Saccharomyces cerevisiae S288C: one gene and its partners. Changing the gene in region 1 together with any one later gene gives a genetic interaction. Each region holds a gene or a part of one and is shown on either strand. Other genes may lie near its edges.

Region 1 (3,758 bases):
TATCTTCGAGGCTCAACATAGCATCGTTCATTATAGTATGGTCATTTCTATCTAAATCGGGAACTGAATGGTTCATATCTCGTTCATCACGGTTGACGGGGTTCGCGTGATCCTGCGATTCGTTATTCGTTAAATGGGGTACAATTCCGTTGGAGGCAACATCCAAGTATTTTCGTCTTTTTCTTGAGTTTTCTTCCTCCACGAATCTATTGAAGGAATTCATTGACTGTTCGTCGTCCAATAGTGGCGTGCTCTGTATTGAGGAAAGAAACTCGGATCTTTTATTCGCTTCGTTGGCTTCAGCTGTTGTTGCGGGACTATTCGTGGCGTTCTGGAATGTGGGTTGTACGATATTAGTGTCTGGCGGAGTGGGTTCACCCTCCACATCATTCAGCGTACTGGAAATAATATTTTGAGGGAAATTTATTGCCTGTCCCAATAACGCATTATCATGCTTCTTGCTTTTTCTTGGATTGTTGATAGTTTCTATATGCTGCGTCGGTAGCATATGCGCCTGCTTAACTGCTCTCTTTTGTTCAATTATTACCCCTGTCCCGTCTTTGTACCTCATCTTGCATTTTTGGCACCGAGAGATTACCTCCGAAACAGTACTCTTGATTCCTCTCCAATGGTATTTTTCACCAATTTTGGAGGTCACCTTGTTGATGCCTAAATGTTCCATTAAATGTATCTCTAATGCAATCTGGATTTGTTGATCCGTGTCATAAATGATTTCTTTTCCTTTTGTCATCAACTTGCCATTCAATACCGAATGAGTTTTGGAAAGTACTCTTAATCTAGCCTTTTCGTTTCTATCACAATGTAAAGGATACTTGCCTGTTTCCAGAAAATGCTTTAATCGTTCATATTTCCCAATTTCGATACTCTTTTGAGGATCTCGTAACAAATCTATACTTTTCGTAATATGTGTGAACTCTTTACCATACATGAAAGAATCTACTGGGACATCAAAGCCCTTGAGAATCCCGGCTTCAGGCAGCTTTCCAATCCGCCTAAAGTTCAATCCTTCCAAAATTCTTCTGATTCCTACGTTCGTTCCGTAAATTAACGGGAAAAAGGAGGACGTAAATCCTAATTTCTTTGACCATTCTATGAATGTTTCCATTAGTGTTTTCCCAATACCTTTTCCACGAATACCAGCATTGACCAGAAATGTTCCTGTGACCACATGCGCTGACCGTCCAGGGTATGCTGGTTTGAGGTCAAATATGCCTAGACATTGCTTCTCCCACTGCATACTTAGATTTAAATTGCGACGTTCTTTTCGTTTCTTATATTGGGTGGTGTGCTTCGTGGTTTCTATTTCTGTTCCAAAATTATCATTTGTGTCCGCTTCAGTATCCATACTATAATCCAGTTCTGGTATTTCGCCTAACACCATAATACAAACGTGACCATCATTATGAAACCAGACATTTTTGAATTCTTCTAGTGATAAAGTCTCGTAATAAGGAAAACTATCTCCCTTTTCCACTTCCATGTTAAATTCATCTAGAAGGAAATTTAAGAGCCCTAGCGGCAATAAATCAGGATACGCAGGTATAGGATACATCGTAGCTATTGTTTCTCCATCTTTCAATAAAATGGTATACGGTTGTAAAGGAGTCAAAAGTTGATCTGGGACCGCTGCCTCATTTCTCACTTCTGAACTGCTATTTTGGTGTGCCATCTGCAGATGTTCGTCATCCGGTACTGAACTTGTGTGCTGATTTAGCATTGAAGCTAATTATTACGATTTTTGTTGATAATCACTTTGGCGGAAGTCTAGAGTTGTTCTTGATCGGTACACTTTTTACTCATCCCCCGAGCAGTGAACTAACGCCAATGTAATGAATTTTGCTCTTTTATATTTTTCATTTTTTTATTATTTTAGCTCACGATCCGCATCTCGAATTTTCAGAGCTTACTAGATTCTAGGCCATTAGAAGTAAATGAATAGAGGTGAAATAAAATTCATACCCATCATGAAGTCTCCTTCATAAAATATAACACCGCAAATGACTAGTAAATTAAAACGGGTTGCTGTCGCACAATTATGTTCATCCGCTGACCTGACCAAAAACTTAAAAGTGGTAAAAGAATTGATATCTGAAGCCATTCAAAAAAAGGCGGATGTCGTTTTTCTCCCTGAGGCAAGTGACTATCTTTCTCAAAACCCTCTTCATTCCAGGTATTTGGCACAGAAAAGCCCCAAATTTATTCGGCAATTACAGTCAAGCATTACCGACCTTGTCAGAGATAATTCACGGAATATAGATGTTTCCATTGGGGTACACTTGCCGCCCTCAGAACAAGATTTACTTGAAGGCAATGATCGAGTCAGAAACGTTCTATTATATATCGATCATGAAGGGAAAATATTGCAAGAATACCAAAAACTGCATTTGTTTGACGTAGACGTGCCAAATGGACCGATATTGAAAGAATCAAAATCTGTCCAGCCTGGCAAAGCCATTCCTGACATTATAGAGTCTCCATTGGGAAAATTGGGCAGTGCCATTTGTTATGATATTCGCTTTCCCGAATTTTCTTTGAAATTACGATCAATGGGGGCTGAAATCTTATGTTTTCCCAGTGCGTTCACTATTAAAACAGGGGAAGCACATTGGGAGTTACTAGGCAGAGCAAGAGCGGTTGACACTCAATGCTATGTGCTCATGCCAGGGCAGGTTGGAATGCACGATCTCAGTGATCCAGAGTGGGAGAAACAATCACATATGAGCGCTCTCGAAAAAAGCTCCAGGAGAGAATCTTGGGGACACTCAATGGTCATTGATCCTTGGGGTAAAATAATAGCGCATGCCGATCCCTCTACTGTTGGACCACAACTAATTCTCGCTGATTTGGATCGTGAGCTTTTGCAAGAAATAAGGAACAAAATGCCCTTATGGAACCAGAGAAGAGACGATTTATTTCATTGAGGCAAATAAAATATGAAAAAAGCCTTTATTCGTACAGATTTGCTTTACATATTAAAAATTTCAAAAACATATAATTTAAGTATATAAGTAGTTAATCATTTAATTATTTTTCCGTGGATCGAAGAATTTCGTTAACTTTTTCATCATCTCTTGATCTATTCACAACTTTAAATGCAAAAGTCAAATATGAGGTATGGGATTTGATCTCAGCTTCCATCTTTGTGACCTCCTTCCATTTATAATTACTATCACCTTCCTTGATTCGAGAACCTTTGCCAAAAGGATTAAATTTGGCCTTTTCTGTTAATGGTACGCCATCCTCGTTTCTTTTTCCAACTTTTTCATCGTTAGAATCTATTGTATTGTTAAACATCCGCTTGCGTCTTTCTACACCCTGGAGTTTGTGCCTCTTAATATCTCTCAACCTTTCCAGGGCATCATTGAGTGATCTGACCATTTGTCTTCGACTTTCGTACTGTCTACCTTGAATTTCCACCATTTCAACATCCGTCCAGCCATATTTCTCTAATACATCCAATGTTTTGTCTACTTGCTCAATGCATGGGGAGAAGCAACACAATCCGACCTTTTCGTCTACGGAAATAACAGAATCCAGATGAGGTATAGCATCCCAGGGAGCCGGCAGATCTAAAAACACTACATTTGCATTCAATGAAGCGGCGGTTTCATTATTGCCAAATTCGTAAGATGTAGTGTCTCCCTTCTTTATAAGAAATCCACCTTGGCAAACATCCCGATGTGTAATCGTAACGTTATCATCAATAAGTCCATGCTCTTTGAATTCCTCTAATGCTT
Region 2 (3,758 bases), on another chromosome or scaffold:
CTTTTAATGCAATCTTGAGGGGAGCCAATCAACGAGTGGTTTTACTTGCACGTGACCAAGAATGGTAATAACGGTGAAATATATGACTAAAAACCTTGATAACTAAATATATCATTAATTTATTTTTAATGCCGTCTAGAAGGGTGTATGAATATCTATGTAGAAGTATGACGATGAATAATTACATAACGAACGAAAATCTCTGTTAATGAAAATATAACTCCAAATAAAATGACAAGAATAAACCACCATGTAACACGAGCCATGTTTCTTTCAGCAACAGAGTCAACGCATATATCAAAGAATTCCAAGAAAACTTTGCAACGATCATTTAATACTTGTACTCTTTGGTCAATTTCTAAATACTCCCTCATTGCCACGTACAGTGGATGCAAACTTGGTTCGAACGACCAAAAAAACTCGGGTGTATCCAATATGGTGGATGAAAGGTTAACATCCACTCTCAATTTAAAGAGCTTCCCTGATTTTTTCAAAAGCTGTTCCCTTTTTAACCCAAGGGTACCATATAATGCTAGTCTTTTAGGTAGTTTTGTGACTGATATTAAAATCGGCGAAATTCTGGATTCAAACCTTGATAATTTCGAAGATTGCGCAATCGCATGTGATAGTGTCAGCTCGATAATGTGGTCACCTGAACGTAATGTGACAATATCATTGAAAATTCTCGGTCTCTCGGTATCTCTGTCATATTCGAAATGGAATTGTTCAGTTTCAATATCTTGTTCATCCAGCGGCCGGATCATTAAATTCTTATAATCTGCAAATGTTATATCACCAAGAATATTTTTCTCTTGAATTTCAGTAAAGTTCCAAAAAACAATAACGCCATAGTGAAAAATGAAAATTTCTGCATGTCTATCATTGCCTTCATGGTCGTTGTCCCTATGCATTTTATATACACGATCAAAATCATTCTGTGATGAAGATGGTGGCGATGGCGTAGATATTGATGATGGCGAAGCTGGTGAACGAGAGGACTGTACATACTGATCGTTTCCCTCAACAGCATAAAGTTTACTCTTATCATTATTTTTATTATTATTATCGTTGCCACAACTTGCATCACTGTCGTTTTCCTCCTTCTTCAGCATGTTTATTCTTTCTGTCCTTTCCCGTTTCTCTATCTCTAAGGGAGTTTCTTCCGCAAAAAATTGTGGTTCCATAGGATTAAAAGAGTCTTGCTGACCAACTGGATTTGGTAGATGATCGGGAACTGTTGTGGTGTCTTGATTAGCGTTATTGTTATTTCCACTGGTTTCTAGTTCGTAATTATTATTTGCATCTTCCACAGTTTCCACACCTGAGTAATATTCATAATGATGATCTCTCTGTTCGCTTGTATCAATTAAATTATCAATTAATGTCTTTCCACCCATTGTTTTCTTAGATAAATTTGATTTGATTCTAAAACCGCCTTTACCTGGTAGAAGTGGCAAAGTATACGCAACGTATAGACACTCATCATACAATCTTGGTGAAACCTCATGAGTTTCCTGCAGAAACTTATACAATTGGTTGAGATTGAAGCCATCAGCAACATTATATGCGGTGATTCTTGCCATGGACTTTTCTTTTGAGTATCGAGGTAGCCGATCGAAGGAATTAGACTTCATAGAGCCCACTTTCGGTCTTTGCCTATCCAGCGCGTTCGTTGGTAGAGTTTGAAAGTGGTTCAAGTTGTCGTCTTCCGGTATCAACACTAACTTTTGTGACGTCTTCGATGTTCTTGGAGGCAGGGGATTGATCATCTTTCTACGCGAACTTAACCGCTCATATTGGCGAGGCCTATCGCTTGAAGAGCTGGATAGCCTTTCCTCTCTTCTGGCAGAGGGAATATCTGAATTATCAGAAAGAATATTATCTATGGATATATCGCTAAACCTGCCAGACGATCGCCTTCTTGGATGAGTAAAACTCTGCAGCGGAGAAGGGCCAATAGCGGAAGAGCGAACTCCTTGAGACTTCGTAACTCCTGCGTTTTCCATATTCTTCCTACTACCAGCAGCGTGTCCAGCGAACGGTGCACTCATTCTATTCTTGGATGTTCTTGCATCTGTCACCAGGATGGAAGGTGACCTTTTCGGCATCTCCCCAGGAGATGGTTGGTTAGCCTTATAACTCATACTGTCGTCTTAAATGGAAGTCCTTTCCTTTGCTCCATATGCAATTTTGCATACGAACTTCCGATTGATATAATCTTGTATTAATGTATGCCTAACCTGGTTTTGTTTTTCTTGTAGGTTTTTCTAGCCAGTTTTACTATAAATTGTCACTTTTTCCTAGTAGTCAATTTGAAAAAAAAAAAAATATATGGGTAATTATAATAACAAGAAGTGTTCTTCTGATTGTCGGAGATGCCTCTAATGCCAATGCACAGGCTTCCATAAAGTTTTCAAGCATGACAGAAAGCTAACTTGTCTTTTACTTCTTTGTTGGGCACACTTCTCATTTTTAAAAAAAAGATTTCCACCTTCACGATCATATCTGAAATGAACTGAATATTTTGTTCTTGTGAGAATAAACTTGTCTACTAATCGCAAATTTTTCAAGATTAACCTTCCGCACCCATTGAGGTACTAAACTGATCTACCCTACCTTTCCTAAATACCTAATGTCAGGTACATAATGCCAGCGACAGCTCAAAATCACGGGATACTAATTATTAAATAGTAGTAGCTTCTTCTCCACGCACAGTTCGATCGAAGGAGCTAATATTCGGCTTGTCATCTTCCATGGCCAGTAATTTTTTTTATTGTCATTTGGGACTAATGAGATGGAAACTAGAATTGTAGTTATACATCCTGAGGTTTCTATCAACTTGTGTGTCACAACGTTTTATATACTTGAATGCGTAGTAGCAAACCCCGGCAAGACGTAAGTTAACTTGTCAAAGGTACAAGCTTGGTTACAAACAATGTGATATTTCGCTCCAGGATATTTTTGCTTTTGGTGACGCCGGTTGGTTGAAGAGCCCCCATTTATCATGACTCCTACCGCAGTTTTCGTATATCTTGGGCCATAAATTCGAAAATTAAAGACACCACTTAATAACGCAACAAAAAGAACGCAATCCTCAGAAAGAACACACACCAAAAAAAAAAAATGCCTGTTTATGAACACTTATTGCCCGTTAATGGAGCATGGAGACAAGACGTCACCAATTGGCTGAGCGAGGACGTTCCTTCTTTTGATTTTGGTGGATATGTTGTTGGTTCCGACCTAAAGGAGGCCAATTTGTACTGTAAGCAGGATGGTATGCTGTGTGGTGTCCCCTTTGCGCAAGAAGTCTTTAATCAGTGCGAATTGCAAGTTGAGTGGTTGTTTAAGGAAGGCTCCTTCTTGGAGCCTTCGAAGAATGACTCTGGTAAGATTGTTGTAGCTAAAATTACTGGGCCCGCTAAAAACATTCTATTAGCTGAAAGAACCGCCTTGAACATCCTTAGTAGAAGTAGTGGAATTGCCACCGCCTCACATAAGATAATCAGTTTGGCGCGTTCGACTGGTTACAAGGGGACCATTGCGGGGACAAGAAAGACTACACCAGGTTTACGTAGATTAGAAAAGTATTCCATGCTTGTAGGTGGCTGCGACACGCACAGATACGACCTTTCCTCTATGGTCATGCTCAAAGATAATCATATTTGGGCTACTGGTTCTATAACAAACGCAGTTAAGAACGCCAGGGCCGTGTGCGGGTTTGCTGTGAAGATCGAAGTGGAGTGTTTGAGTGAAGATGA
Region 3 (3,758 bases), on another chromosome or scaffold:
TAATCTTGGATCGTGAATTCTTGTTGAGCCACCACCAAGTTCCACACCGTTAACTACGAGGTCATAATGCCGACCCAAGCACTTTTCCGGCGTCTTTTCTAATTTTTCGTAGTCTTTAAGCTTCACCATAGTAAAAGGATGATGCGTGGAACATAGTCTATCCTTTTCGTACTCCGGATATGCAAGCTTTTCTTTTTTACCAGACTTATCTTCAATTATAACGGGAGAAAATAACGGGAAATCCACAATCCATGAGGCAACATCCTTATTGACAGCATGATAGATATTTTTCCCATGCTCACTTTGTAGCACCAACTGTCTCAATCTTCCCAGGGGAGTAGGATTCTCGAAAATGGAATGGTTTGGCTCTCTCGTACAACCGCATACAATGTCACCTTTTTTCAGTTTCAGAAATTTGGTTATTAGATGTGGGTTTTCAAACGTGGCAATTGCATGAAAATTCTCAAACCAATTTGAATTAGCTTGTTCGTCATTTTCAATTGGTAGCACTATTGGAACTCTATAATTGTAATTACTGTTATTTGTCAGAAACGACCATCGTTCTTTGTACTCTTCCATATTTGAAAAGGCACTTCTTAGAATAATTACTTCAAAAACGGGAAATTTTTTGTTCAAATGACTAAAGGCATTGAACTCGCCTAAATTGATAATCTTCAAATCTGGCGCTCTCAAATCTGGCTTGTCAATACCATATGAGGTCATGGCTTGTTCGTAGGTCATACGAAAGATAGATACTGTGCCGTTTTCCTTTTTCGCAGGCACTAATGTACCCTTACTGTCTAAAGTCAATAATCCTCGTTTTTTGGAAAATTTACTCCATACCCCAGAAACTGTCTTTTCTATGATTTTCATGACATCTTCAGAATTAGCAAAGGCCATTTCCATATCAACCTGTGTAAACTCAGGCTGCCTGTCTGCTCTTAAATCTTCATCTCTAAAGCACCTTGCCATTTGATAATATTTGTTGACACCACTAGCCATTAAGAGTTGCTTGTATTGTTGAGGGCTCTGATCTAGAGCATAAAACGATGGTTTACCATCGGATCTCTTTGTCCTTGTTGGAACCAGAAACTCTCTTGCGCCTTCTGGGGTAGCTTTAAATAACATTGGGGTCTCGACCTCCGTAAAATCAAAATTGTTGAAGGAGTTTCTTATTTCCTTAGAGATAGATGACCTCTTCTTTAAAAAATCTTGATATTTGGGATTTCTCAATTGCAAATAGCGGAACTCAGGTGGGTATATGGCTGACAATTTAAAATCCTGCATTTGCGCTGGTTTTTTATTAGATGCATTTAACACAGTAATATCCTCCAATTGCACTTCGTACTCATCTGCGTCCTCATTTGATAGCTTCCTCTTCAAAGAGAGTATACCTACGGCTTGAACCACATCCTCTAAAGTAAAGCCTTTCAACAACGATTTGTTATCAACCAACTGGATAATGTCACCGTTAGAGTCCCTTAAAAGTCCGAAGATCAAATTTTTCCCAACTCTTTTTGGCTTCTGCTCTATCCATCCATTGAGTACTATTTTCTGGCCGCTAGACAGTCCTTTTAACTGTTTGATGGTCGAGGTGTCCTTCCTAAAGAGAAATTTTTTCTTAATAGCATTGGCTTCTGGAAAGTCTGCCAACCGTCTAGTGATTGTCTGCAAGCACACCCTGGAACGGGCCAACATGATTAAAACTTGTAATGTTTAGTCTTTTCAAAAAAGCATGCACTCAACTGAATCAAAATGTTAAGAAAACATGAATAATGAATAAATGAGGCATTCAATGCCATCTATTACTTCCTACTCCCATTTTCACCTTATTATTGTACTTTGGTACGGCAGTAGCTTTCTGAAATTTCATCTACCAAACTTTGCAAGCACGAAAAAGAAAGCAAAACATTTCATTTACCATGGACGCATGGAGAAGGTCGATTTTGCCACAGCTTGCACAAGATTGGCAGTGGCAGTAAGTGATGAATCCTATCAACTCTCTAGCGTTTGACCTTCACAGTGTTAAACTTGCAGACGCGAACTCAGACACTGCTGCATTATCAAATAGCAATACTCCAACCATGAACAATGCGGCTCTTTTGCAAAGGCCCTCCTCCATTATGGATTCTATTGGCGTCCAAAGAGTTCCATCTCCTTTTGTGCCAGGGAGTAATGCGATTAGTGGAGCCAGTACTGTTCCCTTCAATGCATATGACGCTGAAATTACTGGATCTCCGCTACAAATATCTGCTAATCAGGAAAACAATAGTGCATTTAGTGCAGCATCATCCAACCTGCATATGAACGCCAGCAGCCCTTCCGTTCTCAATAAACCCTCGAGCACATTTCCAAATGTAGCTCCTTATCTCTACAACGCAACAGGGCCTGCCCCCAACGTTGGTAATCAACCCCCACCACCGGGGATAGAATCTCAGTGGAAATACATTGACTCTAATGGTAACATTCAGGGGCCTTTTGGTACCAATAATATGTCACAGTGGTATCAAGGAGGTTATTTTACTCCAACTTTGCAAATCTGTAGATTAGCAACATCTCCTGAGCCATTTGGTGTAAATGATCGGTTTATTAGACTAGGTGAATTGACTACTCTGGTGAATAATTATCAAGACCCTTTTGTCGCCTTTGATTTCATTGTTATTAGAGCTTTGAATGCTGTTCCACTTGTTGCACCAACTTCATCAGAAAAGCAAAAAGTTGAGTCAAGAGATTTGATACCTGTTGCTGATGTGCATAGTGATGATTTTACGTATGAAGAAATCCTTGGCCTTAAATTTGAAGATGGAAGTTACTATCATGAAACTCAGGTTTGGGTTCCGGTTGACGGCCGTCATATCACAAAGGTAGATCGCATACCAAAGATATCTGCATATACCGCTCCTCTATCCACGACTTCTAGTAGATCTAATAAAACCACTTCTTCCCATGAAGAGAAGGTTCCTTCCCACGAGGAAGCTTCTCCAGAGGAGCAAGAGGTTTTTTCAGAAGAGGGCAGAACTGTTTCTAACATAACAAATGAAGAGGAATCTATTGTCAAAAATCCTACTAAGCAGGAGGAAGAATCTCGAGGAAGCGAGAAAGAGCAAAATATATTGGATCAAGTTCAACCAGAGATTGAAGAGGTAGACCGTAAGGATGTAATATCCACTGCTGATGAGCCGAAAAGCAAAGATACGCCGCAAATGACTTCTGAAGAGCAGAAAAGGTTTGCAAAGGCAGAACTGATGGCACAAAAATTATTGGAAGAACAACAAAGACAAGAAGAAGAAAAAAAGAGAAGAGAAGAACAGCGCAAATTAAAGAAGGAGAAAAAATTGAAGCAAAAGCAGAAAAAGGAAGAAGAGAAGTTAAAAAAGAAGAAGAAGGAAGAAGGAAAATTAGAGAAAGAAAAGCAAAAAGAATTGCTAAATAACATTTTAACTGGAGATACAGAAACTCCATCTTCCGAAAACACCGCAACTTCCATAACCACTAATTTGGCGCCTTGGGCTAACAAGAAACCCGAGGGTGCTGTTTATAATCAGATTTCATCTGCTCTTGAAGATTTGAAGAAGGAGAACTCGTCCAAGAAAGAAAAAAAACCTAATCGTACTCAGTTAGATCGTGAGCAGGCATTAAAACTACAGAAAGAAATATTAAGCTCGGCGCAAATTCCGAAAACTCAAACTGGTTCTGCCTGGGGTATAAAGCCACAGCAACCGATCAAAGTTGATATTAAAGGAGAATTGATGAAAGAC

Evidence for each region.
Region 2: mutations in SPT10 (region 1) and RMD8 are lethal when combined (synthetic lethality), as found in Saccharomyces cerevisiae (one study listed by BioGRID).
Region 3: of SPT10 (region 1) and SYH1, a mutation in one rescues a mutant of the other (synthetic rescue), as found in Saccharomyces cerevisiae (one study listed by BioGRID).

Annotation. Positions count from the first base shown.
Region 1 is NC_001142.9:182,483-186,240, forward strand, and holds the start of SPT10 (Spt10p), read right to left. Parts: upstream 1,739-3,758; coding exon 1-1,738. Other genes in the region: NIT2 (putative hydrolase), read left to right, coding at 2,019-2,942; tRNA 1-methyladenosine methyltransferase subunit GCD14, read right to left, coding at 3,046-3,758. UniProt on the Saccharomyces cerevisiae protein: Required for normal transcription at a number of loci in yeast. Affects transcription at Ty1 elements, at PHO5, STE6 and ADH2.
Region 2 is NC_001138.5:244,532-248,289, reverse strand, and holds RMD8 (Rmd8p), read right to left. Parts: upstream 2,145-3,758; coding exon 156-2,144; downstream 1-155. Other genes in the region: BNA6 (nicotinate-nucleotide diphosphorylase (carboxylating)), read left to right, coding at 3,124-3,758. UniProt on the Saccharomyces cerevisiae protein: Required for sporulation.
Region 3 is NC_001148.4:353,640-357,397, reverse strand, and holds the start of SYH1 (Syh1p), read left to right. Parts: upstream 1-1,985; coding exon 1,986-3,758. Other genes in the region: aspartate--tRNA ligase MSD1, read right to left, coding at 1-1,698.